Schizosaccharomyces pombe: one gene and its partner. The protein of the gene in region 1 binds, or shares a complex with, the protein of each later gene. Each region holds a gene or a part of one and is shown on either strand. Other genes may lie near its edges. A codon is read from its position in the direction of its gene.

What was found.
Region 2: the proteins of ubc7 (region 1) and cue1 are in contact, whole or in part, in a crystal structure (PDB 6OP8), measured with the Schizosaccharomyces pombe proteins. Residues at the interface, in NP_595778.1 of Schizosaccharomyces pombe: Met11 (codon at 9,645), Tyr14 (codon at 9,654), Lys15 (codon at 9,657), Leu17 (codon at 9,663), Thr18 (codon at 9,666), Glu19 (codon at 9,669), Asn20 (codon at 9,672), Gly21 (codon at 9,675), Pro22 (codon at 9,678), Asp23 (codon at 9,681), Gly24 (codon at 9,684), Ile25 (codon at 9,687), Thr26 (codon at 9,690), Ala27 (codon at 9,693), Gly28 (codon at 9,696), Pro29 (codon at 9,699), Ser30 (codon at 9,702), Asn31 (codon at 9,705), Glu32 (codon at 9,708), Asp33 (codon at 9,711), Asp39 (codon at 9,729), Leu41 (codon at 9,735), Gln43 (codon at 9,741), Gly52 (codon at 9,768), Leu54 (codon at 9,774), Arg161 (codon at 10,540), Leu164 (codon at 10,549), Gly165 (codon at 10,552); in NP_587825.1 of Schizosaccharomyces pombe: Asn173 (codon at 2,886), Arg174 (codon at 2,889), Ser175 (codon at 2,892), Lys176 (codon at 2,895), Leu177 (codon at 2,898), Lys181 (codon at 2,910), Arg184 (codon at 2,919), Glu185 (codon at 2,922), Leu187 (codon at 2,928), Phe188 (codon at 2,931), Arg191 (codon at 2,940), Lys192 (codon at 2,943), Glu193 (codon at 2,946), Met195 (codon at 2,952), Ile196 (codon at 2,955), Leu197 (codon at 2,958), Ala199 (codon at 2,964), Arg200 (codon at 2,967), Arg202 (codon at 2,973), Met203 (codon at 2,976), Lys206 (codon at 2,985), Ile207 (codon at 2,988), Glu210 (codon at 2,997).

The regions. Positions count from the first base shown.
Region 1 is NC_003423.3:1,896,185-1,911,901, forward strand, and holds ubc7 (ubiquitin-conjugating enzyme Ubc7), read left to right. Parts: upstream 1-9,503; 5' UTR 9,504-9,614; coding exon 9,615-9,803; intron 9,804-10,086; exon of another isoform or gene 10,087-10,199; coding exon 10,200-10,257; exon of another isoform or gene 10,258-10,306; coding exon 10,307-10,560; 3' UTR 10,561-10,841; downstream 10,842-15,717. Other genes in the region: SAGA complex, phosphatidylinositol pseudokinase subunit Tra1, read right to left, coding at 1-9,234; ribosome biogenesis protein Yar1, read right to left, coding at 11,048-11,488; ribosome biogenesis protein Nop8, read left to right, coding at 11,948-13,384; AP-1 adaptor complex mu subunit Apm1, read left to right, coding at 13,996-14,057, 14,133-14,238, 14,309-14,956, 15,035-15,499. UniProt on the Schizosaccharomyces pombe protein: Catalyzes the covalent attachment of ubiquitin to other proteins. Functions in degradation of misfolded or regulated proteins localized in the endoplasmic reticulum (ER) lumen or membrane via the ubiquitin-proteasome system.
Region 2 is NC_003421.2:443,035-458,631, forward strand, and holds cue1 (CUE domain-containing Cue1/4 family protein), read left to right. Parts: upstream 1-2,204; 5' UTR 2,205-2,369; coding exon 2,370-3,017; 3' UTR 3,018-3,202; coding exon of another isoform or gene 3,203-3,373; 3' UTR 3,374-3,596; downstream 3,597-15,597. Other genes in the region: DNAJ domain-containing protein Mdj1, read right to left, coding at 136-1,722; SPOM_SPCC4G3.20 (uncharacterized protein), read right to left, coding at 3,203-3,373; SPOM_SPCC4G3.12C (ubiquitin-protein ligase E3), read left to right, coding at 4,230-6,695; protein nur1, read right to left, coding at 7,431-8,381; DNA repair protein Rhp42, read left to right, coding at 9,335-11,395; GTPase-activating protein Gyp3, read left to right, coding at 12,269-14,176; serine/threonine protein kinase S6K family Psk1, read right to left, coding at 15,066-15,597.

The DNA of each region.
Region 1 (15,717 bases):
CATCTCAGTGCGTTTTACCTGTGCAATATCTTCACGAGCAGTTCTTAAAGTGAAAAATAGTGCCTGTGGATAGGATTTAGCAATTTTTTTAAGAACAACAGGTGCGCATTTAGTATCCCCTTTAGAAAGTGAATTTAAAAGCTGGGGAATAAAGGTAAGCCAATGCCAAACTGGTATATCACCTTTGTATGATTCAAAAGCTTTAACTATAGTACCGGCGCTGTCATTCAAACTTAATAACCACAATACCCTTGCCAGCATCTTACGAGCTTTAGAACTTTGGTAAGTACCAGCAGCTTGAAGATAGCAACTAATGGCATTGCATGCTGCACTCAAATTATCTGGTGACTTATTGAAAAGCAAATCGTTGTAACGACCCCATTCTGCCCATGCCTTTGGCAACCCTAAATCAATTTGTACTGCTGCAGCATACATTTGGTTAGCCTCCTCACCTCGATTTAGTTTTTCTAAAAATTTTCCTTTTAATGTCACGAATTCTGACTTTTGTCTAGAATTGAAGTACATCAGATTGGTATTTGTAACAACCTCCAAACCTGTTTTCAGATCTCTTGGGTTTTGTAGATAACATAAAACTTGCTCTCGAAGCTTATAAAAAGCTTCTTGAATTTCAATATTTGGAAGAGTATATATCTTCGTTAATTGGTTCAGACATACGGAAGGTAGTTTATGTTTTCTGGCAACATGAGCGAATCGGTTAATTAGCCAAGCGGTTTCATGATATCCTCTAAATAAGAAAGAGGTATTCGGAGGATTAGACGAATCAGCACTACTATTAGCCTGTATCGTAGGGACCAAGGGGAGATAAACACGATTTATCATAGAGAATACTATTTGTCTCCAAGAAATGAGATCACGCCAAAGATTAATATCGTCCCAGACATTAGGTAACCGCTCTTGCCAAACTTGAAGAGCACTTTTAATCAACTGAACATTAGTAGGCAAATTCTGAAAATTGATAGCATTCAGATGTGAATAAATTGTAGCAGCTTCTTGTAGTTCAACAAATTGCTGAAACAGATGCAAAAGTGAATAATGAGATTGATTAACTTTTTCTGGAAGTTGATGCCACTTAATTAACGCAAGTTGAATGGCTTCAGACAATACTTGTTGGAACTCTTTAATGGCAAGAGGTTGAGATACTGACTTTTGAAGTGTCATAAAGCATTGAAAGGTAAGTTTCCGTGGAGTAGGAACATCAGAAAGGCTCTTAATGGCAACCTCTAAGGATTCACGATTATTAGACCAATCGCTAATTCTCCAAGCACACTCGAGCAATAGTTCAGAAGATCCCTCGTGCTTCGCCAACTCTGTCAAGACGTCCCATTGTTGTAATTTTTGAGCGCACATTACCCACTGATCCTCCCACAAGTTGTATTCTGATTCTGAGAAGGGAATGGCTTCACTGCGAGCCTTGGTCTGTGCCTGTTCATAAAGTTGTTGAGCCCTTCCCCACATTCCAAGTTGCTCATACGAGAGAGCAACTTGAGTTTGCAAGTACTTACAGTTTCGTCGCCAATGGCCATAAAACATATCATCTTCATTTAAAGATGCATATAACTCTGCGACTGCATCCGCACGGCTTTCTTGAACTTTTGCATTCTGATACATGTCATATTTATCACTCAGCTGAATTTCGAGAAGTGAAACGGATTCATGATATACACCGTACAATTTTCCAAGATATTTTACCAAATGAGGTGGAAGCTCTAATTTTGCAGCACACTTAACGAAAGATGAAACCAAAGTAGAGATCACATTCGGTCGATTGTTTACCTGTTTGATGTGATAATCACGAGTGAGTAAATAGATTAAAGACTTTGAAAGGTCAGAACGGTTATCCGAACTTAGTATTTTCCATGCAAGAGGAAAAATATATTGCCAAAGCTTATTAGCATCTGCATCGCTGAGCATTTGAATGTGTGCCAACGGAAAAATAATTTTTTGCACAGTTAATTCCTTATTTCTTTTTAGGAACAAATCCAGTTGTTTGAAAAAGGTAAATCTGCCAAGAGGAATAGCTGAACCGTTGTGTTTTGAAAAAACTTCAGGAAGTGAGCTTAATATGGGTTTTGTCATTGGCACTGGAGCAAATCGAAGACTATTGTCGGTAAGCCGGACAGGCTGTTTCGCATTTATAGCCCCAAGAAGAATATAATTCGCTTGTTTGATCCAGTAAATGCTAGGAATTGTATCCCAGCTAGTTGCATCCAGTATGAAAGTCAATCTAGAATAAACATTACGAGACATGCTGGAATCAAAAATATCCATAAAATCCATTCGTATTTTGGTATCTTTAGATGCCGTAGCAAGAAGGAAGGCTTGCTTCAATCGGGCAGTTAATTCTGTATGCGCAAAAATGGGATCCCTGTATATCGTGGATAGCAAATCACATGCTTCGATGTATAGTTTGTTGTCAAATCTTCCCTCAAAAGTTCTCATCTTCAATAAAAGTGCAGTTTTTTCTTTGACTGTCAAAAACGAATCTCTTTTCACAATCACCCATTCCTTTGTAACATTAAGAATATGTTCACAAAGCTCAAAACTTGAACTCTTTTCGAGCAATTGCACCACAACACTTAAAAACCATCTACGTTGATCTCCTAAGCTTGCCATGCGTACTCTAATAATTTCAATGAAACTAATCAAAAGCTTTGAGACAGTATCAGATGCAGAAGGAAGTGTAACTTTTCCAGATGCTTGTATAGCAGATTGCATGCAAGCGACAATATGGTCTCGTGCTACCTTTTGAAAGCATTTATTTAAGGGAAGAAGAAGACCATCAAGCGCTTCCGGATTAGAGGATTTAACAATTTGCAAATAGCAAATAGCAGACTCAATGTTAGTGGCAGCGGCGAGATTATCATGAATAACTGAAAGTAGTAGTTGTTTAAAATCATCAGCCTCATTCGTGTCTTCTTCTTCTTCTGCTTGAGTTGGATGGCTTTGTAACAGTAATAAAATAATCTGCTCCAATGAATGAGTAACAGGCAATTTACCACAACGCAAACTTTTGTCGATCAGAGCGATTATATGACTATATTCACGTTGAATATACTCCATACCTCTGTTCTTTAAAATAACTCCAAACACAAACAATGTGTTAGCTACCGTACGATAGTTATTATCGTTGAAGTCCATATCAACAAGGATTTTTTCAAAGAAGTTAGAGTTCAGCTGACAGTCTTTCCATCGAGGAAAACTAAACAGATCATTAAATAATGATAACCCCTTCTTTGAAAGTGGATTTTCTTCAACTGGTTCGGGAAAAAGCGAAAGGAATTTTATAAGGAAGGTAAGAATAGCTTCAATATGGGAATTGCTAAAAAGCGTGGTCTCGGAATTTTCTGATTCATTCTGTTTCCTCTGCCAATTTATAAAGGTTTGAACAATATCCAAAGCTAACTTTCGTGGTTCTGTACTAGCACTAGAAAACGACACAAGCTTTGGAAGCGCATTAACCATGGGTACAATAAAATGAGAGCAACAAGAGAAGAAAAGGTCAGGTGCTTTACATATGAATTGGTAAACTGTCAAAGGCTGTGATATACCCTGAACATCTTCGGAGATAACTAATCTAGGAAGTTTCGCCCAAAGGGGGAAAGTTGAATCGGAAGGACTCGATAGCCTAGCGGTTAATACAGACAGCAAAGAAGCAAGAGAGAATTCAATAAAAGCTCTCACTTCTGGTTGATATGTTTTTAGTATAGAAACATAAACAGGTGTCACAATCTTAGCAGGTGTATCATACGCACTTATAAAACATGCAATCGTAGCGTAAGCGGCTTGTTTTACCATAGGATCTTCGAGTTTAATGTAGTTCCAAGCTGACATTATAACGCTCTTGCGATAATCATTAAGAAGTGCTGAATGGTACTTACAAAGCGCCGTTGTCAAGCACATAATTCCCATGTAAAAGGAATCTGTGGCTCCCGATACTTCAGCAAAATCTCGAATTGAAACACGCCAAACATGAGTGTAAACAGAATGAACAACATCCTTATCAATAAAGTTATTTTCTCCGCATGACTTAAATACAAGCGGATTGATTACTTTATCCAAGAGAAATGCTTTAAAAAAAGGTCGAACTGACTTGTCACCAACTATACTGCAGCAAACTAAAAATATACTTTTCTTTTCAGCTGCACTTGTTGAGGTTATAAGACAACCACATAACGAATCTATGTATTCTGGAAGGAAATCGTTATCATCGTCAGCTTTAAATCTAAAAACTTCTAATGAAAACTCGAGCTTCTTCTCTATTTTCTTTAAACTAGATAAAAGCATTTTTGTAATGGACGATATACACCTGCGAATAGGAAGAAATAGATATTCGTTGTATGAACTAAGCATTCCATACAAGGACTTTGATAAAACAATAAATTTAGCCGATATAACTCCTGCATCTACATTGGCAGAAATGTAAGGAAACACGGTTGCAATAATATCAACAGCATACATTGGAGCCAAATTTTCAACAGACACCGGTTGCGAAATTAGCTCCAAAAGCTTTCCCCAGTAATTACCGGCGGTTTCGCGAAGTTTTTCAGACATCGGGTCATTCAAAGCACCAACGAATCGAGTTATTAAATCGCCATTACGTGCATTATTCAAAATATACATCCAGGTATCATTTGCATGCAAATCCATAAAAGAATACAACGGTTTTCTTAATGGGCTGTTAGAATATTTTCTGAGAACTGCCTCTATGTTTACGACCGACGACAACAAGTCACCTAGAAACTGCGCTGACAACGGAGGAAGATCTCTGAATACGTTAACCAAAGACACAATAATCTCGATCCTTGGGTTGGTTTTCAATAACGAAAGTGAGGCAGTCTCTAGGACTTTAGAATCAGATAGAACATTAAGGTGTTGAAGAAGCTTCCGACCTATTTCCACTTTAAAGTAATTAGTTAGTAATCTTAAAAGTCTGGATAAACCCTCAAGACCGTTAACTGACAGCTTATTGTGGTCCGATAAATTCATTAAAATTGGTCTCAAGCCGCTTTGAAGAAGTTCTTTAGGAAGCTTTTGGTTTTGCGAGAGCACGTGCCTTAACGCATCTATTGCAACTGAATAAATTTCTTTGTGAGGTGAGTATAGATCTTTGAAAAATATCGCTATGATTTTAGTACGAGTTTGAGCATGTTGAGGTTGATCAAACTTATGAGCCACCAAAGAAGCAAATAGTAAATGCAAGCAAGTAGCCCTTAATTTTCGTAAAGAAGAGCTATCTTTGCTTTGAGAAGTTTTAAGCATGGTGACTAATGCTTCATCTTCAGCATCAGCTAATGCTATTGTTTCACGAAATAATCTGTACAATTCATCAGTCAAATCCAAAAAAGAGGGAGAGCGGTGCAAGCAGTAAGTGATTGCATCTATATGCCCTATTTGGATTGTAAAAGGTAACGCTCTTAAGGGTTTTCCAAAAATAGGGCTTAAAAGCCTGTCCTTTATAGGAAGAAGAAGATCAACCACACTAAGTTTAGAATTGTTGGAAATGTTCTCAATAGCTTGTTGCACAGTATTCCTAACATGATCGTTGGGATGTAGGAGTTCTAAAAAAAAGGGAGAAAATGCATTAATTATATTATTAGCACGCTCTTTCGGTGCAAGCACATCCTGAAGTATACAGAATTGAGTTGTAATATCAACGATGAAAGAACGAACTTCGGTTAATTTTAAAACCCCATAATCGGTTGGAGTATCCTTGAGAATAAAGAACAAAGCCTTCAATATGTCGTGTAATCTATCTTGGATCCAAAGCTTATGATGTGAATCATACGAAAGTATTGCTTTTAAGCCGAGAAATCCAGCATTCTTTTGGTACCACAGTTCCTTATGGCAACTTTGGCAAAACACTGTTACAAGATTTTGAAAACTAGGCAACTTTGATATATCCAATGTTGTGTTGAGAAGCATCTTATGGGCGTTCAAATAATGATCGATACACGATAAAGCATTAGACCTGGTATTTTCATTTTCAGAACATAAAGATTCGAAAATTCCGTTGATGCACGTAGTAAGATCAAGCATTTTAATGCTTTGCAAATTATCAAAAATATTTTGATCTTTTATTTGCAGAGAGTCAGCGTAATTAACCAAATCAAGAACAATGAGCCATTCCAAAGAACGATTGATGGTTTCTCGAGCTTCAGCTACAAATTCCACACAAGACATTGAGCCGACTAAAGATTTAAAAATGTTTGAGACAATAGATCTTTGCAGATAATAAGATTCATCTTTGTCAGGGCACAACCTACCATTAGAGACTTGCTGTAAGTTTTTATCCATGCGATCTACAACTGCTCGGCACATTGTATCAATAGATTCCCAAAAGTCTTCATCGGGCTTCGCAGACGCAAAGAGTAATAAATACGAATTCTTGACCATTTGAAATGCTTGCTTCTTTTCTTCTAAATCGGAATTTTGATTGTTTAAAACAGCACATGAAGACATTAAAAATTTGGAGTGCTCTAAGCTAAAATTCTGAGAGGAGCCTTGGAAAGAAAACTGGATTGAAGGAAAAATATTTTCATCTTGCAAAAAATCAAAGCCAAAGGTACCAAGATATATTTGTCTATTTCGACCACCCATTTTTCCTAATATTCTCACAGCACTTTGATGCAATTGATTATTGGATTGATTAAGGCGTGAATGATTCCACAGGCATATCAGCAAATCCGGCATAATTGAGTCCAATAAAGGATCCAAAAATTCTTGAGTAAGATTATCCAAGCAAAGTTCAAATATTCGAAGCCCTTGACTAGCTATTTCAGGGGGGCCTTTTAATGCAACAATCAATGGCTTCATTAAAAAATTCATATGAGGCAACAACACACTGAGTCTAATGGGTAAAGTCAAACAAAGTTCCGCATACAGCTCTTTTTGGGATGTAGACGTAACAGTAAAAATCAATCTGTTGAAACATTCTAGCATTACTTGGAGAAGTGGTAGTATTTCCTTGTAAAGAGAATCAAATTTTCCTCCACTGATATTTCTAAACAAAGCTTTCATTAAATAAACGTAATTTAAAGGTTCAACAGCATCAGTAGTCAATTCGAGGCTAGTTGAAATGATATAGGATATATGGGGACGCAGGACTTCTGCATTTTTTTCGGGAAAAACATTCACAGTCATAAAGGCCAACTTGAATAATCGCAATAAAACAGAAACCCGAGTGGATTGGCCAGACCCTATTTTAGCTAGATTGTCACAGCAAAAAGACAGCACGATGCCCGTGCAGTTGACAGAAGTAACTTCATTAGACATCCAAAATTGGAAAATATGCAATAAAGCAAGATTATCTACTAGACACTCAAATATATTCGGAAACTCGGATTCCAAAATTTCGACGAAAACAGATGGGTCCAAGTGTAAAAATAAAGTTGCTAACATTTCTAAGAGCTCCTTCTCTTCTAAGAGTTTAGAAGGGTTTGTGGTCAACGAAGAATCAAGTTGAGAGTATGCAAGATTTTTCGAGGACTTGAATACACCGGTTTTTTCATCTGTCTGGTAATAACTGAATCCCTTTAAACTTTCCACAAGTAATCTTCGAAACAGTAAAACTTCATTAGTTGAACTAAGATGTAACTTTTCAGACCATTCCTGAGCTGTAAAAATGGAACCGTTGGCAAGAGGAATATTTCGTTGCTTTAGTCCAAACAAAACAGGCTTAATACCTAATAAGGTGTTTTTAAAAAGAAATATGCAATCTTTTAGCTTATCCAAACCTGAAGGTTGGGCAGCTCCAGTAGGGTTCTCAAACATAGGAAGATCATGTTTATTTTCTTCTATTTTAATTTGCTTTAAGTCAGCATTTTCCTGTAAAGAATCTCTCAGCTTCATAAACTCGAAATTCAGAGAAGTCAATTTTCTTAAGAGACATAAAAGTATAGCAAATAGAAGTGATCGGCTAGTGGAAAAATCTTCTAGTGCAACAATTCTTTCAACCAAGTTTAAAATAAGCTTTGTAGCCATTGCCTGAATAGCTGAAGTATAAAAGTCGTCCATCAAAATACTGAAATAAAGAAGTATGACTTTGTAAATTTGTTGTGGACTTAATTCCATACGCACATAATGAAGCATATCTGCCAGCATGCTAAAAGCCATGGGTCGTAATGAATGCTGAGAAGTGATTCCAGAACCAACTAGAATTTTGGTATCAAGTAGTTGATCTACATACGGTAGAAACCCTCTCAAATAATCCGTCGATAAGACGTGCCTTGTAGCTACCAAAAGTTCTCTTCGAGTCTGATATAATTCGGAAGGACAGTCCATGAACAATTGCAAGGTACATATTGGGATCGAGCTTTCAAACTGTTTAAGAGCAGCACCAAAACTTCTCAATAAATAGGCGAGAAAAGAGAATGATTTAATTTGCGCAGAAATAAGGTCATTGTAAAGATGATTTCGACGCAAAGAAGGGACTACACCAATAAAAACCTCTTTTTGAGATTCTGCAAGTCGACGAGCTTCGGCTTGAGGTGGAGGACGAAGTGAGATAAATTGAAGTACAAGCGGAGCAAGTAAAGGAAGCATTTTCGGAATAAGATCTTTGTATGTTTGAAATAGGAGAAAGACGATAATGGGAAATTCAGCAGTGACCTTGAAACTCGAAGAAGCTTTTGGGATCATTTTTGGACCTGCATGTTCCATTCCAATTTCAGCAGGAGATGCAGAAGATGCAGCAGACATGGGATGAGAGGATGGAGTATTCGGAGCTGATCTAGGTGGGAAAGCTTCTGAAACAACTGTGGTCATGGATTTGTAGTTTTCAACGACAATGGATAAAAATTCCTGAACATGTCCCTTAGCAAGGCTACTGTGGTCCTTAAAAAGAAGGACAACAAGCTTCAATGCCAACACTGCCATCTCTTCATTATCATTAACGACTATACGAAGAAGCACGGCAAAAGTCCGATTAACGAATGCTTCAAAACCTTTATAGGATCCAGATTTCTTGAGCAATTCAAGCAATGCAATGCGTAAACGATGTGTAGCTGCTAACGATGAAAATACAGGACGTTCCTTTTCAAGCAAAGACAACGTGTCCTCCAAAAGAGGAATGAAAGTTTCAAAATTCGTCTTTTCAGTTACCAACACATCATCCAGTGCATCTCGAATTTCAATTGCTGTGTTTGCCTTTTGCTTCGAGTCTAATCCAACATCACAAAGCCGATTATGCCAATGTTCGCATTGTGATACATCCATCAGATGCTTGGATCTCTGCGCAAGCTCTTTTTTAAATTCCAATTGCACTCGGATACGTTTTCCTAAGTATTTAACAATTACTATTGGAATGTTGTGGGATAGAGCAAGCTGCATTTCTTTCCTCTAAATCACTTTATGAATTTTACATGTTTTCGCTATTTTAATTAACGGCCTTATTATTTTGTGCGGTAGAAGTTGCTAAAATGATGAACGAGATAAAAATAGCGAGTGATACCACAAAAGTTCGTTTAGCCTCAGCTGCATAATTTGTCGTAAACAAACCATTCATTCATTAATCTGTTCATTACCATTTTTAGGCTACCTTTTAGTCAGTGATCTTTAATATATCTTACCGATTAGTAAGTTAATTGATTTCCAAAATGAGTAAAGCTATGGCGTTGCGACGGTTAATGAAGGAGTATAAGGAGTTAACGGAGAATGGGCCTGATGGTATTACTGCAGGTCCATCGAATGAGGATGATTTCTTTACTTGGGATTGCCTAATTCAAGGCCCTGATGGAACTCCATTTGAAGGTGGGTTATACCCTGCTACCTTGAAATTTCCTTCCGTAAGTCCTTTACTATAAACCTGATGGAGACTGAACATGTGATTTAAGTTGTGGATAAGTATGATGTTTCGCATGTTTTATGTATCAACTACTTATTAAAAAATACGCGCTCTTTTTCATAAATTAACATTTGTTCAGCGTAAATAAAGAAAGTAACTCAATAATCCATTCGTTTAGAATGATCATTTAAGAGAAGTGCTTTTATTCATTAGTAATTGATGAATCCTTCGATTTATTGATGAGTAGGAAGAAATTTTATTTAAAAGATCTATCTAAGTTTTTTTTTGGGGGTTTGGTTTCTTTCTTTGAATCGCATGGCAGTACATCCGGGGTGTTCAAGCGCACGTTGATACGTGCTTAGTTTTATTTTTATTGGATTCTAACTTTTTTATGTAGGATTATCCTCTTGGCCCCCCTACTTTAAAGTTTGAGTGTGAATTTTTCCATCCAAATGGTATGCCAGATACTATTAATCCAAATTTCGAGACTAACCTTCATTTCAGTTTACAAAGATGGGACGGTTTGCATTTCCATCCTACATGCACCTGGTGACGATCCAAATATGTATGAGTCGTCTTCAGAACGTTGGTCTCCTGTTCAATCTGTTGAAAAAATACTGTTATCGGTAATGTCGATGTTGGCGGAACCAAACGATGAAAGTGGTGCTAACATCGATGCGTGCAAGATGTGGAGAGAAGATCGAGAAGAATATTGTCGTGTAGTTCGACGATTGGCTCGTAAAACCTTGGGATTATAACCATGAATTGTATATTTGATTAGATTGCCATGAATAACGAACCTGATAAAATCTAGAAATAAAGTTTTGTTCCATTTTTGAACGCAACCGGTAGGCTTTTCTCTTTCTATTCCAACGTATAACGCTACATAGGTTTAATTACAAGGTTTAAACAAAAATGAAAGCACTTTTCCAATTCAATTTCTATCTGTAAATGATGGAAGATAAACATTTTGTCTATTGAGATAATCCATCTTTTAATAAACATCACTTGAACTTTCTACACAGATACATGGCAACGTACATCGCTGAAAACGAATTATATTGAGAAAACATCTAGAAATTACACAGTAAAAAACTTAACAAAATATAAGAATAACCCCAAATTATGCTCCAAAAGAAAAAAAAAATGCATCAGGTGCATAAAAATATTAGCTTCCCACAACCTACAAAAGAAAGAGGTAAATTTTTTTACAAAATAAAAATCAGAAATTATCAAATAAAACGATCATATTCCATCTTCCAATTTTTCTTCATCACCAGTGTTTTCTTCACTACCTTTAGCAATCTCAAAATCCAGAAAAAGGTCCATTACTTTTTGCTGATTTCGAATATCAGCTTCATATATAGGTGACTTCTCATAAATATTCTTAATATGAGGATCACCTCCCGCTTCCAGTAGTAATTTGCAAATTTCAGCATGTCCATTCAGTGCTGCCCAATGCATTGCGGTGTTTCCACTCTCATTCTGAGCATTTATTACTTCTTTATTCAAGTACGGGATTATTTTTTGAACAACAGCGATGTGTCCATTAGCACTAGCCATATGAAGTCCAGAGTTACCATTTTCATCACGACGACTTAATTCTTGTGGACATTTCTCTATAATCTCATCTAGTAACTCCTCATCCGCAGCTCTACAAGCGTAAATTAAATCATCAACATCCATATTAAACTATCCAATCCAGTAAAGAAGGATGTTTTACCGGTTTATTTGGAAAGAGAATGATGTGAAAACTGTTCGTTTGTTAGTGTAAGGTAGCCGCGGCTTCTCCAACTTGGCTTCGGCAAGGCCGTGGTTACTTACTACACCACAAATTCCATTGCAATTTTATATAATTATTCAACGAGAACCTGCCTTCTACAGCAGGTTAATTTTTGATTTATAAGAAGGAGAAAAAGAAGTTACAGGAGTGTTTATTTCCGAAAGTCATAGAGATTTAAACCAGTATATATGCTTTCCTTGTAAAAAATTTCATTGCTCACACAGCTCTCGATTCCTCATCTAAATAGCTATCTGGTAGCGATTGGTAGACTATTTTTTCGGGTTTATTTCCCATTATATTTCAGACACTCTTTTTGACCTGCGAAACTTTTTGTCCTCATTTTGTATCAATTGACTTCAATAATGGAGTTAGAAAAACGGATTTATGTTGGTGGCCTTTCATCCTCTATTGAATCTTCAGATTTGGAATCCAGATTTTCTCGTTTTGGAAGTGTTTCAAATCTTGAAATTATAAACAAATCTACTCCAGTAGGAACTATACAACGATTTGCATACTTGAATTTTCGAACAGATGAAGATAAATGGCAGAAATGCAAGTCTTACTTATCAAATGCGACGTTTAAAGGAAGTAAACTTCGTATAGAGGAAGCTCGCCCTTATTATTTAGTAAAATTGCAGCAGGAAAAAAAAATTGCTGATCTTCAAAGTACTAATAATGATGAGAAAAATGAAGATCACTCCAGCAAAGTTGATCTGGAAGACCCAGTCTTTCATGGAGAAATAATTGTTCCCGGAAAACATAGTAAAAATATGCAGGTGGTCACGGATTCTGATGTTCGGAAGGATCCTCCTAGAAAAGGTTGGAAAAAAGGCCCCTATGGAAGGGCCATTGTCGTGCTTCGAATGTATAATAAAAATACTAAGAAAACGAGGTTTTTTTATCCGCTGGGTAAAAACTGCTTACAAAAACTATGGGGCCGAGTGGAAACGAATATGGACAATACTACAGCTTTTTATGATTCTGATCATGATGAGTATGTATCATATGGGGGTAAGAGAGCTTCTCGTGACAAAATACGTATGCAAGCAAAATTGGGTATCAAAGCTTCTACTCAGAAGGATGATAACGATTTTGAACTTCTTAATAACACAACTGGGGAGATTGAAGTCACAAAAGAATTAAACGAAGAGCAATTGGATGCTTTGCGAAAAAAAGATAAGGATACGGCTGCATCTGTGTTAGCTGAACTGTTTGGTTCTGAAAATACAGAAGAAATTGATACCGTATCTAAAACTTCAGGTGTTTTGGAACTGGACAATGATTCGACTAATAATTTCCAAAAAGAAGGTTTGGATGAACAAGATAATTTACAAAAGGAAGAGTCCGTACACATAGATGTTCCTGCTGAATTTGAAGCATTTGATGAGCGTACTGCTGTTGTTAACGTTGACAATTTAAAAGAAATGTTTTCTTCCAATGCGCAGGATACGTCTAAGTTTTCTCTTTTTGGCAATGAAAATGGAGTTGGTGAGGAAAGTGAAATGGAAAGTGAGATTGATGACCGTAATTACGAAACTATGGAAGAAGAGGCAGATGGGGAAACTCCGCTAGCTATAGTTAAAGCCTCATCGGGTACCAAGGGTTGGCCAAAAATGTTTACTCTACCCAATCCTTCTTCCCTATTCCAACCAGGTAATGAAGATTATACGAGCAGAGAAGCTCTTGAATCCTGGTGGTCGGAAAATCGTCTATTCTTAACTCGTGATTACAAACGAAAAAGAAAAGATGCCGTAAAAAGACAGCGAAGGGCTCATGAAAAGCGTATTCGACTTGTTTAAAGACGCGTATAGGTTATGTATTTATTGGGAATTTATTTGGGTATTTTAAGGTTACGAGGTATATATTGATTTTTTACACACTTTTGGAATCTTTACGTTGTTATTTCTCTATCCTTTTTATTTTAGAAAAAAATCTGTGTCTTTTTAAAAAGCCACGATGTTCACTTTGGTTTTATCATTGGTGAAAGTTAACAACTTTTTTCGTTGCACTTTCTTGGGATTTGTGGCTTTTAATATTTACAATGTTTGAGATCAAATTTTATTAAAATATTTGTTATTCTTATTGTTATAAGCCAAAGTTGTCAAATAAAACATACCGAAATTTTCTTACATTGTCAGAAAAATTATTTTCCTTTTCGGCATTTACAAAACCATATAATGTAAATTAGTTATAATTATCTGAATAGATTATCTTATAAAAGAAGACTGAATGTGTGCATAGAGTAGTAATTACTCAATATAAGAAGAATTTCGTACTATATGTAAGAAACAGAAATAGTGAATTACGCTGTATTACACTAGCGGTGCTTAGGCACGGTGATGAGGCAGCCAACAGTCAATGCTAGTTATCCAGAGCGAAACTAGCTGCCTTATTCGCGGCTTCTGTAAAAATGGCTTCTGCTATATTCGTTCTGAATTTAAAGGGAAAGGTAATCATTTCCCGTGATTACCGGTAGGCAATTTTGAAATCTGAATGAAAATCAGATTGTCGCAATTCGTCGACAGGTTACTAACAGAAAACAATTAGAGCTGATATCCCCATGTCAGTAGTTGAAAAGTTTTTACCTTTAAAATCAGAAGTTGAAGAAGAACAAGGATTCTCCACCCCTTGTCTCACTCACGAAGGCATTAACGTATGTAAAAGTTAGATATTATGAAAGCCAACAATTCTTATTTTTTTATGGTCGTACTAACACTTTTCAGTACATTTACATTCACCATAATGATGTCTACCTCCTTGCTTTATCCAAAATGAATTCCGATGCAATGGAGATGCTAGTATTTTTGCGTAAAATGGCGGACGTTTTTATAGATTACTTTAAAGAATTGCAGGAAGAGTCGATTCGAGATAACTTTGTTCTTGTTTATGAATTGTTAGACGAGATCATGGATTTCGGTTTTCCACAAACAACTGAAACAAAAATCTTGCAAGAATACATCACTCAAACCTCAAATACGGTAAAAAAGCATGCTCCACCCCCCATTGCTATGACAAATGCTATCTCCTGGCGTTCTGAAGGAATTCACTATCGTAAGAATGAAGTATTTTTGGACGTTATTGAATCAGTTAATTTAATTGCTGCTGCCGATGGTACGGTCATTCAAAGTGAAATCTTAGGAAAAGTTCGTCTCAAATGCTACTTATCAGGAATGCCTGAACTTCGTCTTGGGCTCAATGACAAGGTCCTTTTCGAAGCGGCTGGTCGTACCATTAAAGGAAACACTGTGGAAATGGAAGATGTGAAATTTCACCAATGTGTTCGTCTTGCTCGATTTGAAAACGATCGTACAATTTCGTTCATTCCTCCTGATGGCGAATTTGATTTAATGTCCTATCGCATGAGTTCAAATGTAAGTTATTAGTTTGTGCCTGTTCTTTTTATTCCCTCTCTCCTTTATCAACGTTTTCTAATATTAATTTCTCGTTAGGTACGGCCATTAATTTGGGTTGAATGTGAATCCATCGTGCATTCAGGTTCGAGAATTGAGTTTATGGTAAAAGCTAAGGCTCAATTCAAAAAGCGTTGTATTGCAAATAATGTCCAAATCATCATTCCCGTTCCGGAAGATGCTGACAGTCCTCGGTTTCAAACTAGCAATGGTCATGTGCAATATGCACCTGAACAAGCTGCCATGGTTTGGAACATTAAGAAATTTGCAGGTGGTAAAGAATTTTTCATGCGTGCTGAAATGGGTTTACCAAGTGTTAAAAATGAAGATATTCAAGTTCAGAAAAAACGTCCTGTTCAACTAAAATTTGCTATTCCCTATTTCACTACCTCAGGGATCCAAGTTCGTTATTTAAAAATCACCGAACCAAAACTTAATTATCATGCTATGCCTTGGGTTCGATATGTTACACAAAATGGTACTGAATATTCCATCCGTCAGTAAATGTTTCTAATGATGGTTCTCCGTTCCGTTCTTTTTTCTACCTTTAGATACCTTTCCCTTCATCTATATATTTGTTTTCTTAGTGTACTGATCCCATTTATTACGAAATGAAATCTTGTTTGCAGACGCGCTAATCCTTTTTCTTACTCAGCTGACATAAAAGGAGCATTTGCTTGAAACATAAATGTCTAAGTCTATTTATTGTATAAAGGATAAGT
Region 2 (15,597 bases), on another chromosome or scaffold:
AGCTAAATTACTAGATGCAAAGAGAATAACCCAAGCAGAATGTAGCATCAGTTGGTACAAAATGATGAACGGTTCATGAAGCTTCGTAAAAGTGCCAACTGGTATAAGTGACCAAAACTAGATTTTTTGTTCTATCTATGAAGAGGATTCATCCTTTTTTGGATTCTGATCTTCATCAGGATGCAGACGACGAAAGGCACGCTTAAAAAACCCGCCGACCGAACCGTCTTGTTTGTTTTCTTCTCCTGTAGTTGGCTCGGTAGATATTCCTGTAGAGTGTTTGGAAGAAGTAGAAGATGTCGACGTAGAAGAGTTTGTTCCTGAAGGGCTACTTTGTGTCCGTCGAGCTGTGCTATCATTTAATGCGTCTGCTAGTTGTTCAAGGAGACTTCTTTCATGCGGAGATAGAATTTTCGGAATAGTGACTTCAAAATTAACATAAAAGTTTCCGTAGCGAGATGTGTTAACCTTGCGAATACCTTTTCCGGCCATAGTGATTCGGTCTCCAGTCGAAGTGCCTGGAGAAACCCGAAGATCCACGTTTCCTGTAAGTGTAGGAACCCGAAGAGTGCCACCTAGCGCAGCAGTAGTCATGGGAATTTTTGCATTATAAGTAACATTGGTACCCTCTCTAACAAAGAACGGATGCTTGCGAACATGAATAGTTGCAAACAAATCGCCGGGCCTTGATTTCGCATTTGGGCCTCCCTTAGCAGTAGACGCATCATTTCCTGCACCCATTACACGAAGAACTGTATTGTCGTCAATTCCTGGAGGAATGTCAATTGAGACAGTTTTTCGCTCTCGAACTGTACCAGATCCCATACAAGAGCGACAAGCAGAGTTGGGAGGAATGGTTGTTCCAGTTCCACCACAAGAGTCACAGGTAGTTTGCATGTGAAAAGATGGGGGAATGAAATGAAGACGTTGACCAGTACCTTTACAAGCAAAGCAAGTGCTCTTATGAGAACCGGGTTGCAAGCCAGATCCATGACATGATGAGCAAGTAGAAGAGACTGAATAGGATAAGTCTTTTTTTGCACCCCTCACTGCTTCCATGAAATCGATAGTAATACTTGCCTCAATGTCTTCACCAACAAATACATCAAAAGAGGTATTACGACGAGCTTGGGGGCCTCGAGAGGAAAATCCAAATAAGTCTTCGAAATTAAAACCTGGAAAACCAGAAGAAAAAGAAGAAGCGCCAGCAAATCCGTTCTGGAATCCTTCAAAATCACCGCCAGTAAACTCTCCATTCTTAAATGCGCCTGCACCATATGTATCGAAAGCTTTTTTCTTCTTCGGATCCTGCAACACCTCATAAGCCTGTTTGATTTCAACAAATTTATCTTGAGCAGCTTTGTCAGGGTTCGCATCAGGATGGTATTGCTTTGCCAGTTTATAGTATGCTGATTTTATCTCAGAAGCAGAAGCGCTTTTTGATACTCCCAACGTTTTATAGGGATCAGTCATTTCCCAAACTGCTCTAGTGGCATGGAAGCATCGTGCATGATATGAAAAGTTTTTCAAGGCAGCACATCGAGAAAACTCTCGTTTTGCATTTCGTTGAATTGCTACATTTCGAAATTTGGTGCAAGAAGAGCTTATGACGAAATTCCGCCTGGAAGAATGGGCAATTGACTTTGAAAAGAGCTGCTGAGCAGAAGAATTTGTAAAAGAATGCAATCCACAAACTCGGGATTGTAAATACTTGCTGAACATTTTGATGCTAAAAGAAAGTGACTCAACGATTCCGGAGCACTGAATAAATTAAAGCGCGAATTTTTTTTAAAAGAAATTTTAAAATAAGAAGTAATGTAAATATCGAGGTAGAGAGATGAAATGCGAATGTCTACCTGAATTACTTAAAAAAAGATAAAAAGGCACAAAAAATGAACAAAGTCGCGAGTAATAAGTGGAAATAAAAAGAATAACAAATAATATGCTATTATTAAGTACCTTGCCAATGCAATAGTAAAAGGAAAAAAAAAACAAATAAGGGAAACCGAAACTTATGAAAGTTTCTAGAAGTTAGTAGAATACCACTTGAGCAGTGCAATACTCTCTTAAAAAAAAATGTCTAATTAAACAATTTAATAATTTAAATGTCCAATATAAACTATTTGATGAGTGTGGTAGCGTGATGGAACTGTACCGTCGGCTAGAGTATAACACATAGTCTACTGGCAGCTCGAAAATCGATTGACCATTGCTATACACTACAACTTGGCTGAAATATTAGGTCAGCGATAAAATTAATCCGTTTAAGGAGTTAAATAGTGTAAAAAACTTAACTAATATTCCTTAATTATCGTAATTGATCAATATTAATATCGTTTTGTGAATTATTTGTTAATACATCCAAAGTTATGCAACCAGAGCAATTAGCAGGGTGTGCTGTCGTTTTAACAGTTACAGTGCTTACTTTAAGATGGATGTTTCGTGTTGATAAAGGTGGTGAAGTTTCAGAATCGAGAACTTCGTCTTCGGGTGTCGATAATGAACCACCTGTGAACAGCGAGCATGTTCACCTCGTCAAAACCGTTTTTCCACATTTAGAATCATCAGCTATTGCCTATGACCTCCAAAAAACAAAAAATGTCGATGCAACCATCGAGAATGCATTGCGAGGTCAACCTCTACCGCTGCCGCCCCGTAATTCCTCCTTGTACGCTCGCTTTCCACTGTCGGCTGGAGCAGGCGCTTCCTCTCATTCAGAAGAAACAACTCCTTCGCACGAAGTGACATCCAACGTGTCTTCTGGGTCAAGCGCTTCTTCGTTGGCAAGCAACGAGCACAGGAGCCTCATTGAAACTTATAACTTGTCGTCCAGGATTTCTTCGTCTGACAATTCATCCTCGTCCACCGGCAATGAAGAGGTTCGTAATCGTTCAAAGCTTCCATCTTCCAAAAAAGAGCGTGAAGAGTTGTTTCGCAAGCGAAAGGAAGAGATGATTTTGGCTGCCCGTAAACGGATGGAAGGAAAGATTAAAGGAGAAAAACAAGACAAGAATTAAATATAAAACCAATTTTAATGATCTTTTTTATTGAAGTCTCTTCATGTTCACCCGAGGCCCCCTGTTTGATTGTTTGCTCCGCTATTGCTTTATTGAATTGCGTTACTAAACTGCTTAGTTCATAGCTTTTGGGTCTTTGCAATATGTTGCTCGTATTTTTTTGCCTTTTATTTTTCATACTCTCTCTACGATGTGTTCAACTTATGCAAGGTCAGTGACTTTTTGGGTTTCTCCTTCGCAAAATACTGGCAAAGGGCATTGCAAGGAATGGAAACAGAAAAATAACGCAATGCTTTATTTTTTTGGCCATCAAAAATAAGTTTTAGCAGAAAGTAATATATCGATTGTCTGTTCATTTTTGTCAAATTTCTGTAGCTAGTTTTTATAAATATCAAACATTACCAAATTTAACATGTTTACTAAATATGCATGCTAATATTTTCAGCTAGGCATGTCTTTTGTGGTAAATAAACATAAAACCTTGACGATGATCTCTCGCTTTCTACTGATTCAACAAGTTATGCTAAAGACAGGTAAATCAATATTATCTTCCTTCTAGTCGCTTTTGTTTACTTTCTGTAAAATAGTGAAGGTTTGCGTGTTTGTTGAACTTTAATACCGTAATATCATTTTTTGCGGTGATTTTATATACTGTTTCGTCAGTTGAAATCGCTAAACGTCACTAAGATTTACCATGCTGTTCGGAAATCCCATGGCTCCATTCCATTTTGCCATCCACACCATATTTGTGAACATTTGTGTTTAATTGTTTTTTCTGACTTGACCTTTCTTGTGTAAAGGTTTTTCAGAAACCTAATCATTCTCATATATTTAACTAAAAACTGACAGTACGGCTTCGTCTGTCTTTGCAGCAATCAGGACGTAACTTGGTGTAAGGAGTCATCATTGTTACAGCTCCAGGCCAATTCAAGGTATTTAGATATTTGTATCAAATCAGTTACTTGTTTTTTTGTGATCTAGCTAAGATCAAAGGCGCTTGAGGGCCATATACTTTGATATCTGTTTGTTTATATTTTGAATCGGCTTGCGAGTTTTAAGTAATCGGATAGCTACACCTTTAGTCCGTGTATTACTTGATTGCTGTTTTTAGGTAATAAAAATAAAAAAGAAACTATTTTCTTTTTTTTCTTTTACTCTTTTTTTTTTGTTTTCTTCGTAGCATATCAATTTGCTTCAAACCGTTCCTAATTCATGGGACAGACAAATTCTCGACATTCATTAATTGAAACCGATGAACCCACCACATCATCTAGAGTTTCCATGTTAGTGGACAGAGTGAAGTTGCTGTGGAAAAGGTACACAACACCTCTGTCAACTGAAGACGGTAGTCGAGAAGCACATTTTGCTGTTCCTAGTGAAAATTATGCCGACACTCCATCTCGCAATACCCCAAATTCTTCGAATGGGTTCCCTTCCGAAACCCTGGTTACCTCATCCGCTCATTGTTCCACCCAACCTCATAAAGATGAAGCATATTCACATCATGGCTATTCAAGTACAATGGCGTTAGATGACAGTAGTCTAGCACAAACTTATCATGAGTATGAAGAAGGCACCTCTGGAAACTCCCCATTGAGGAGAGCGATTGGCTCTTATGATTTTCTTCATCCTCGTCCGTCCGGTAACTCCTCTCGTTTGGATAGGAATTCGTCACGCCCTTTTACCTCCTCCTTCCATTCTGCTCCATTTTTAAGTTCTTACGGCTCATCAAATGACCCTTCTCAAGAACGTGTAAACGAATATTCACTTCCCTCAAATTCAAATTCAACTTACACGACACCTCTTCAATCAATTAACAACGAACATCCCCTTCCCACTGTTCTGGAAAATAATGCTCTTTTAAATAACTCCGGTAACTCCCCTTCTTTAATAAACCATTTGCGTCAATATCTTAATCAAGATTTTAGTCGTCTACATCAATCCCCTTCACCCATCCCTAATTCTAATGATAATGACTCTCAAACCCGCCGGTCGTCTTGGTCATCTATCGCTTCTGCATTTAATGACTTTCCTGAAGAATTTCCGAATGCCAGCAATCCTGAAGCGCATTCGAATTTTACACCTCTTAACGGTAATGATGAAAGCACCGTCAATATGCTTAGCCGGTTACTTTCTGCTGCTGCCATTGAAACAGTTGCTTCAATTATGAATAGCGAAGCTAGGAATATGGACTCCCAGAATATGGCAAACGGTGAACCATCTCGCTTTCGTTCTGTTGATGGTTCATTTGAACAGTTCTTAACCGACCTTCGTAGTGGAAATTTGACTAATGTTCTTCAAAACTCTTCTCAAAATGGAAATGATCAAATTTCTTCTGACCCTGAGTCTAATTCCTCAGACCTTCAATACTTAAGGATGTTCCGTTTTCCGTCGTTTCATCAGTCTCACAATCAACCTGCCTCTAATAACGAAGCTTCAGATACAAATGGACCGGCTTTGGTGCCTGTCCTTATCGTTTGTATGCGTAGCATTTCCGAGACTTCCGAGGATCATGCGCCAACTATGACTCAAGAAAATCAAAGCCTTCATAACGAGAGTAGAGAAAACATATCCATTAACGATATAACCGAAAGAATGGCTCAGTCCACTGAATTTTCCACTGATCTTCCTCCTACATTCGAGAGAAGCAATTCAACTTTTTCACATCCTGAACCTACAAGAAGTGACTTTAGCCAGGCTTTTACGCCGGTATCCGATTTCCCTGCAAATCTTTTTCCTGGTTCCAGAAATTTGTTTCCAACGTCCAACTCGGGTAATCAATCTACTTCTTCGTTTTCGCGCTACAATCAACCTACTGTTTCCGTGGATTTAAGGAATTCAAGTATACTAAGAAGAGCTCAAGAACCTGTAAATGGTTCAACTGGAGAAAATCACATTGGAGATGATTACATTTCTTCATTATTGGATAGTTCAAATTCCAATTCACAACGACCGTTTTCAACAGTGCCTTCTGAATCAAATGTTTTTTCGAGGAACGCCTCCGGCAATTTCTCGATGTCACAAACTCATCAGCCGACTACCGATAATACCTCCTCATTTTCCACACAGCCTGGAAGGTTATCTACAGGACTCCATCATTTTCCGTCTGATCGAGATTTACTGTCTAATCAAACTAGACGTTCTAGCTTAGCACGGAGCTATAGATTTGAGGAACAACTTTCTGTTGATGATAATACTAGCGACTTTAGTACGTTGGCTTCCAATGGGGCTGCCGACATGGTTACTCAAACGCATTCAGAGGGAACTTTCTCTAATAGCACCCATGGTGATTGGCTTATCTATGTGTTTGGTGGTCTGTTTCCAGAACATCATCCAGTTTTGTCTACAGTTAGCTTGTTTAGCGATAATCCCATGTATGAAGACTTGTTGGCTCTTACTACATACCTGGGTCCAGCGAAGAAACCAGTCGCTTCTCATGAAGATGTGAAACGATCGGGCGGACTTTTTGCATATTTCGATGATGCTTCACTTTCTAGTGCTGATTCTTGTCTAATATGTTTAGAAACTTATACTAACGGTGACATATGTCGCAAGTTGCAGGCTTGTAAACATTTTTTCCATCAGGCCTGCATCGATCAGTGGCTTACCACTGGTAATAATTCCTGCCCGTTATGTCGGGCTCATGGGGTTACGACACAAGCTGAAGAGGAAAATTAATTTTGACTTGAAATTAAAGCTGGCCTTATTCTATGTTTGTTCACTCTCATTTATTTTCCTTCATCCGTCAAATTTGTTGAATAATTGTTCGCACTATTTGCTTGTGAATGAAATCTACATAATAGCTCTTCCCATTTTTATGGCTGCTATAACCTAAAACTGCTTGACCTTGTTCAACTATCTCTTTGGGACTTTCTCATTTTTCTCATTTATGACCTTATTGATAAAATTTTTGTAATTTTCTACTTGCTGCACGGAAACGAATTGTTTTGTTGTGCGTCTTTTGTTAGAAATAACAATTGCCTTTTTTACAAAGCTGAGTTTTTTCTAAAAATCATTTTAGTTAATCGGTTTGCACGTTTAATATAATTTATTTTCCTTTTAGAAATTTTGCTTCGATTTTTACATATTAGTTTAGATACAAAATTGATGCACATTATCACTTTTAAATATATTTTCTAACAAACAAGAGTATTCATATTTATAATCATGTAAGGATTTTAATAAGAGATCATATTGAATAAGCTTAAATTATAAGGATTTGGTTCTAAGTCGATCATCGAAAGTTTTTAGAATGACGGTGTTTGATACCCTAATTAGTCTTCATGAATACAATTATTTCAGGTCTGAATTGAGTTATGACTTAAAACTTTTCGAAAATAGGAATTAACAGAAACAACAATGATAAATGGAAATGCAGTGGGTCATTCAAAAACCATGTAATTCAGACAAATATTAAAAGCGAGAACTACCATCACTAAGATGTGGAAATCTCTTAAATGGTGAGCTGCTGTCACGACTAATTCCGCTGTCATGAAGATGATGAACACTTCTTCTTTGAAGCGCTATAGGGGTACGGGGTGTTGAAGTGAGATGATCATGTGAAGAACTTCGGTGTTCAAGGAAGGTATCTATGGGTTTTCGGGGTGTGAAATATTCAATAGATGCGGTTGTGGGACCACGAGTAGTATTAATGGCAACATCTCGTTTAACTACCGAAAGTCGAGGTTCTACAAATTTCTTATCATACTCAAAGAATACCTGGCGATGAAGATATTGTTGATCTTTCAGCAGTAAGGAAAATTTATTGACAAAATGCAATGTTGTAAACGAAAGGAGAAAAGTCAACAAAGTCACGCGTAGAGAAGTGCTATAAAACCATAAAATCAAGGCATGAGCAGGAGAAAATAAGCAAGCAAAATTTAGTAAAAATTGATTTGGGCTCCATACTTTCAATTCAAAAACTTGTTCATCGCCATCATCATTATTTGAGTGCTGGAAAACTGGTTTTACATTGGGAGTAGAAGTCGTCGTGCGTTTGTCTTGAGGCAAAGTTCTATACAGCTTATTTTGAAATCGAGTGCTAAATATGAAATTGAGAAAGCTGATGAAAAGAAAACAAATTGAGAGAAATGATAGGAAGGCACGAAACCAGGACCTAGAGGTGTTGATGGACTGCTTATCCACAAAGAGCTGGTTGCGTTGAACTGGTACATGCGTACTTTTTATATAAATGCGCATTAAGAGAAAAATAAAATTGACAGCCAAGCTAAAGGGAATCGAATAACGATCTGATACTTTATCCCACTCTACACTGTCAAATTGTTCGCAAACATAGATAAAGTAATCGATCGGAAGATTGATTATTTTAGAAGTCAGCGATGTACGACGGATTAACTTTCCCATTGAAAAGATTTTTAAGCAATGTTTTGAAATTCAGGTGTACTTTTTGAGTATAAAACAACGCCGAATTAGAAATGAAACAAACCATGGACCTGAAAGGTAAATTCCGATATTCGTATACTAATGAACGAAATTAGGGCACTTCTCCGTTTCAGGATTCAAACCTTACGTATTAATTAGAGTAGCAAAGGCTTTTTAATTAGCTAGGTCGAGCTTGCTATTATCGACTTCAATTGCAACAATGAAGGATAAAAAGTTTTTTATTAAGATAACTTTTTAAATCCGGTACGTAAACAAGTGTGCAATAAAAAAGAAAAAAAAAAGAATTTGCTTTCGCAGGTTGATGTTCCTAAGTATTGGTGTTATTGATGGTTTCAACTTTACCACTACTACTGCTGTGCAAAATCAGTCGTCGATTTAAAATTCCTATTTTTAGGAAATATAAGCTCGATCAGTGACATAAATTTAAACAGTTTCGTTTGACGTTTTACTAATTAATGAATTATTTCCTTAAAATTTAACGGCTGAAGTTTTTTTTGACTTATGTTTATTGTCTCTTATTAATAGTGATGCATGTGGTTTAACTTTTTATTTAATAATTTATTTTCATGTTATGTTTCAGATTTAAATTTTTTAAATCTTTATTTCACGGTTGAAATCAAAAGTAGTTAATATAGCTCATAATATTCAGCAAACAAACTACTCGCCATTCTTGCGCAGTTGATACTGACCTCTTTTTCAAAGGACTTTTTAATAATCATCATCACAGCCATTGTTAGAATTTTGCTTTCTTGTTGGAGAGATTGCTTGAAATAATAATTCTTTAACTAAGAATATATCAGATGTGGCTGTGATTACAACTTTTTATTCAATTTATCGTTATTGATATTATTTGAACCAGCGGTTAAACAAGCATTATCCTAAAGTTGATTCAATTCACATAAACTCTTTGCTCAATGCCACCCAAACGCAAAGCATCCAAGAACTCTGTTCGCGGAAGGAAACGTAGGACACGGACCAATAACTTACCTCTTAATCCTGAAGTGAAAGAGGAAACTGTTGTATCTTCAACTCACCGTCAAACTCGTAGCCAGTCGAAAAAGCCAAGTTTGTCTTCCTCAGCGGAACCTCCTTCTGAGAGTTTAGATGACAATATATCAGCGTTAAACTCACTTCAAAGGAGCGCATCTTCATCCGAAAAAGGTTCCGATGAAGACAATGAGAAGTTAGGCAGCTCAGAAGATGACGAGTTTGACGACGATTTTGACACTTGGGAACAAGTTGATCTTTCTCCTAATAAACAAGAAGATAAAAAAGATTTACACATAGTCACACAGCATATCACTCCTCAACTTACAAAAGAATCGAAGAAAGGCTCTTCTAGTGCAATGGATAAAAGCATTCGATTATCTATTCACATTATGCACTTTACTTGCTTGTTGTACCATGGGTCAGTAAGGAATCGCTGGTTAATGAATTCCTTACTTCTTGATGGGCTGCGCGATTTGCTTGTCGAAAAGCAACCGTCCGTAGTGGAGGCGTGGGTTTGTAGTAGCCAGACGCACGAGGATTTGTTAAAATTGTTAAATGGGCTTCGGATGTGGTGGAATAAATCTTTTAAAATTGAGAGTCATGGGCTTCGGAAGTTGGGGTATCGTACTTTGAAACAAGGATTTGATATCGGCTTTTCGCCAGAAATATTTCATAACTTTCATGAATACCAAGCATCCTTACTTTCGCTAAAAGGAAGCCGGGATTTGGCGGCACAGGGATTTACTGCTCTCTGTCGATCTCTGAATCTGAAAGCAAGACTTATATTTTCTCTTCAACCTTTGACATTTTCTACTGCTTCCTATGATGATTGGTCTCCACATATCCTCCCTGAAGAAACTAGTACATCTATAGATGACGACCTCCGCTATCCTATTTTTTGGACGGAAATCTATGATCAAAGTGAGAAGAAATGGATTGCGGTAGATGCGGTTGTCTTGAATGGGGTATATACCAACGATATGACTTGGTTTGAACCCAAAGGAGCGTATGCAGAGTCAAAACATCTACGAATGGGTATTGTTGCTGCATATGATAACGATTTATACGCAAAAGATGTAACTTTGAGGTATACAGATTACCAATCAAGTAGGCTTAAGAAAATTCGACACGTTTCTTTTGCAGATAAGTATTTTGATTTTTATAAGGCTATTTTTGGGCAACTAGCAAAGCGCAATAAAGATGCAGAGGATATATATGAAGAGAAAGAACTGGAAAGTAAAGTGCCCATTCGCGAACCTAAAAGCTTTGCAGATTTTAAGAATCATCCTGAATTTGTATTGATTAGACATCTTAGAAGAGAAGAAGCATTGCTTCCTAACGCCAAGCCTGTGAAGACAGCAACCTTTGGTAACGGTAAGAAAGCTACCTCTGAGGAAGTGTATCTCCGAAAAGATGTGGTCATATGCAAAACGCCTGAAAATTATCACAAAGAAGGACGAGTAATTAAGGAAGGAGAACAACCTCGAAAAATGGTGAAGGCGAGAGCCGTCACAATTAGCAGGAAGCGTGAACACGAATTTCGGGTTGCTGAAACAAATGAACCAGTGCTTCAGGGTCTATATTCTTCCGATCAAACTGAGCTATATGTTCCGCCTCCAATCAAAGATGGTATTATTCCTAAGAACGGTTATGGTAATATGGATTGTTTTGTTGAGAGCATGATCCCCAAGGGCGCAGCACATTTGCCATATCGAGGAATTGCTAAAATTGCCAAGAAACTCAACATTGATTATGCGGATGCAGTTACAGGGTTTGAATTTCGTAAACATCGTGCGATTCCAGTTACTACAGGTATAATTGTACCTGAAGAGTCGGCTCAAATGGTTTACGAAGAATTTCTTGAGTGTGAAAAAATCAGAATAGAGAAGCAGCAGATGAAAGAGAGAAAAATTATTTATGGGCAGTGGAAACACTTGCTAAATGCACTTCGTATTCGAAAGCGTATTGAAGAACAATATGCTTAATTCCTGGCTTTCGTCGGACACTTTAGGGTTTGTATAACCGGATGTGTGTTTTTTGAACAATGAGGATACTTAATTCCAAACGTTAGACTCATTTATTTATTTATTGTTTTGCAAAATTGACATTTGGTTATTTGTGAAGTATTTTATTTATTTAAAGGAAAAAGAGGAAGCAAACTACCAAATTATCTAATATTTTATTGATTTAAAAAACCCCAGATTTTTATAGCACTATTTTTCATATTGGTGGATCACACTCTATTTTTCGCTTTATAGATCACCCAATTGCATTACCTTGCCAATCGTACTACAAATTTTTTGTTTGAAGGAACAACGACTTAATAAAATAAAATAAAAATAAAAATAAAAATTTTCATTACACGGTAATATCCAAGTTGCTTAAAAATAGCTAAGTCGTAAATTTTATTAAAAAATTAGATATATTCATATAATATTAATACTTTTTAGCATTTTTTACGAAAAAGATGTAGTAAATATAGTTTAGAAGGAATCTTATCATGAGTGTTGCTAAGTACCTCGGTAACCTCGATATTATGGTATCATGGTAGGCCCATTTAACACCACCACGCTTTGTTGCAAAAGCGCGTACTATGCATATATTCTTGGCGTTTACCAACCACGCATTTTAGTCATATAGAAAGTGGAGCATAAGAAATCTGGTTATTGAAAGGCAATTATTCATTCAATTACTCAAAAATCTCCCAGCTGGGTAGTAATGGTACTGGAAAGGAATTTTTATGAAGAAAGCATTGTTGAAGAACTAAGAGATTTTTTGAAAGAAAGCCAGAAGCCCGAAGCACCAGCGTCGCATGTGTGATAGTCAGGGAATTCTCGACATAAGAAGAGAATTTCAAAATGGCTGGCATCACTGAACATTCGACGATTATGAATGATGCAAATTTTAAAGAGGAGAATGCTCACCTGTCAGATGCATCAATCCACTTTGGAAGTAGTGAACAGGATAAAACACCTTCAGATTATGAATTAGATGATGTTTTAGATCTTTACAATGATACTACTGAAGACGATGCCGATGATGCAGACGATGTTAATAACTACATAATGTCTCCATCCTCCAGTTTATCTAGCGAGAGTGAACATGCACTAGATGCTTTAGTGTATCCCATTTACAGTCATCATAACATACTTGAGCACGAAAATAACTCTGACTATGCTTCAATTACGCCTAGTAATCATCCTGCATTTACATCATGTGCTTATCTGCAGAATCCAGTCGTTGATTCTAACAATGAATACGAAAGCAAGTTCAGACTTTCTTTAGAGATACCTCCAACTGATTTCTTATCTACTTCTACTGAACTTTCGAAGCGTGAATCATGCCTTAGTACTGAAACGTCCTCCTCCAAATTTTCCGCCGTCACCGCTGCCACTATTACCAACGAAACCCAGAGTGAAAAGCGTTCATCCCAAACAGATCCAAGCCTTCCTTTCAAAACCAACTCCCTTAATTGCGACGTCACTTATGAAGAAGGTCCTCTCACCAAAAAGCTCCGAGGACCCAAAAAGTACAAGCCCTCCCATTCAAGCTGGGATATATATGGTTTCAAAAAAGCCAACCAGTTTTATACCGTTGACCAATACAACACATGGTATGGCCCTTACAGCCGCTACCTGGAGCGTCGCGAACAGCGATGGAAGCTTTTCCTTCAAGAAAACGGTATAGACTATATACACCAATCTCCTAGTATTTTTCCTAGCCGCAGTGCTAAAACTCAACGATTTATTCGCAAAGGAATACCACCCGAGTATCGTGGCAATGCCTGGTTTTATTACAGCGGTGGTTACGAATTACTTCAGAGAAACCCTAAACTGTACGAGACTCTATGGCGTTGTGCGTGCATAAAAAAGCCCTCAGATTCTGACCTTATTGAACGTGATCTATATCGTACCTTTCCAGACAATGTACATTTTCGACATAAATCCAAGCATTCTAGGAACTCATCCGACGCATCAGAGCATTCATCAGAGGAGCCTGATGTTCCAATGATTTCAAAACTGCGTCGTGTTCTAATGACTTTTGCAACATACTTACCTGAAAATGGTTACTGTCAAAGCTTGAATTTTCTTGCTGGTTTCTTCCTGCTTTTTATGAGTGAAGAAAAGGCGTTTTGGATGCTCGTAATTACGTGTCGTAAATATTTACCAAAGATGCATGATGCCAATTTAGAAGGTGCTAACATCGACCAAAGTGTTTTGATGGCATCCGTTCGAGAAAGCTTACCAGCGGTTTGGAGCCGCATCAGTCTTAATTTTGATGGTATACCCGTCAATGATATTGTGGCAAAGCTTCCTCCCATTACTCTCGTAACTGCTGCCTGGTTTATGAGTGCCTTTGTTGGCATTTTACCTACGGAGACTGCTCTTCGTGTATGGGATTGTTTTTTCTATGAAGGCAGCAAAGTTTTGTTTATGACGGCATTGTGTATTTTAAGACTTGGTGAAGATGATATAAAGTCGAAAAGTGAGCAGACAGAGGTATTTCAGGTGATTCAAGATTTACCCAAATCGTTACTTGACGCTAATGCATTTCTCTCCTTGTGTTTCCGAAGGAATTTTAGGCGCACTCCCTCCCAAAAGGATATAGAGCGTCGAAGAGAAAAGGTTGCAAAAAAGCGTAACTCTTCTGCTTCAAAGCTTGAAATGAGTGATTCTTCGAAACATCACCTTAGTCGTTCATCATCACGATTCAGCAAGTCGCATATAATATCTCAGCTTCATAATCACTTGAAGAAGTCTACTTAGTTATGTCTGTTTACCAATTGAGTTTGCCCATTGTCAAACCTGTCAAACCTTTACTCTCGTTACTAATTTTATGAATGCCCTTGTTCGTTAAGAATTTGGTTGATTGGTTCAGATTTTTATTATTTTTTTACATTGCTACATTGAACAGCCCTTATTCTATTAATTTTGAAATGTTTGTATGAACGTCGTTCCATCACTTATTTGTTCAGCAGATTATTATTTTAGGTAGTCATTGACTCCACTATACACTCGTTTTATTCGGGCATATGCCATTATTTTTGCAAATCGATCTATTTATATGTCTCTTTTGTATAATTGCCTCTTTCTTGTTTGCATAACAATCGATTTTATCTCCCGTTGACACTGGGAATCGAGTCACTAATGTCGGCATGCTTGATATTATTAACATAGCATTATAAGATCACTGTTTTATCATTTTTTGTAGTTAGCCCTCAGTCTGTATTTTTATAAATCATTTGTTGCTAATTCGTTTCAACAGGAAATTGTTTTTAATGTTAATATAAAGTATGAACAATTGATATATTAAAGAAAACACTAAGCTGACCGATGTTTTGTAAAGTATGTATATAAATATATATAAAATTAAAGTTTTCTATTGTGTAATAATAATATGGTTAGTGAAAAGGGATTAAGTAAAGAAGCAACTAATGAAAGAATTAACAGTAATTATAATTAAAATCTTAGAATCTTAAGGATCGATGTTCGATAGAAAACGATTAATTAATGGAGTTTCTTCAAGTATTATGAGTCCCTAAAGGATGAAAGGAGTTATGATATAGTGAGAATAATCAGTTTGTTTAAAATAAAATATCCTTTTCACACATAAAATAAAAAAGCACTTAGTAAATGATGCTTTAGCGAAACCTATTTAATGGTTCGAAACTGCGTTGTTAGATAAAAATTCACAGTTGAGAAAATTGGGAGACGCAACATAGGTAAAGCCTTGAAAAGCAGAGGAATGGCTACCAATTGTTAAATTCCCAAATTCTTCATGAAGAATGGGTGTTGTAGAAAGAGGCAATTTGGTAAACTCGACTGAAAAATTCTCCGCAGCCTCAGGATTGGTGATGCAAGGAACAATTGGGGGAGGCAGCATGCGCTTCTCTAACTTATTCCAATCAATTCGGCGATAAATTCTGTGCTTTTTTATTGCATCGTAACCTTTCTCGGGACCATCTGCGCCGAGGCGTTGCTTTGGATTTTTCTTGAGAAATTTGTTGATAATGTCTCTAGCATCAGAAGTCACATAAAAAGGTATGTTAGGCTTTGCACGAGTGATTTTTTCCATAATTCTCTTATGATTGTTGGCGGTGAAGGGGGGAGATCCTGTAAGAAGATCGAATATGAGGATACCCATAGACCACCAATCGACGGCATGATCATATGGCTGCTCCAACAAA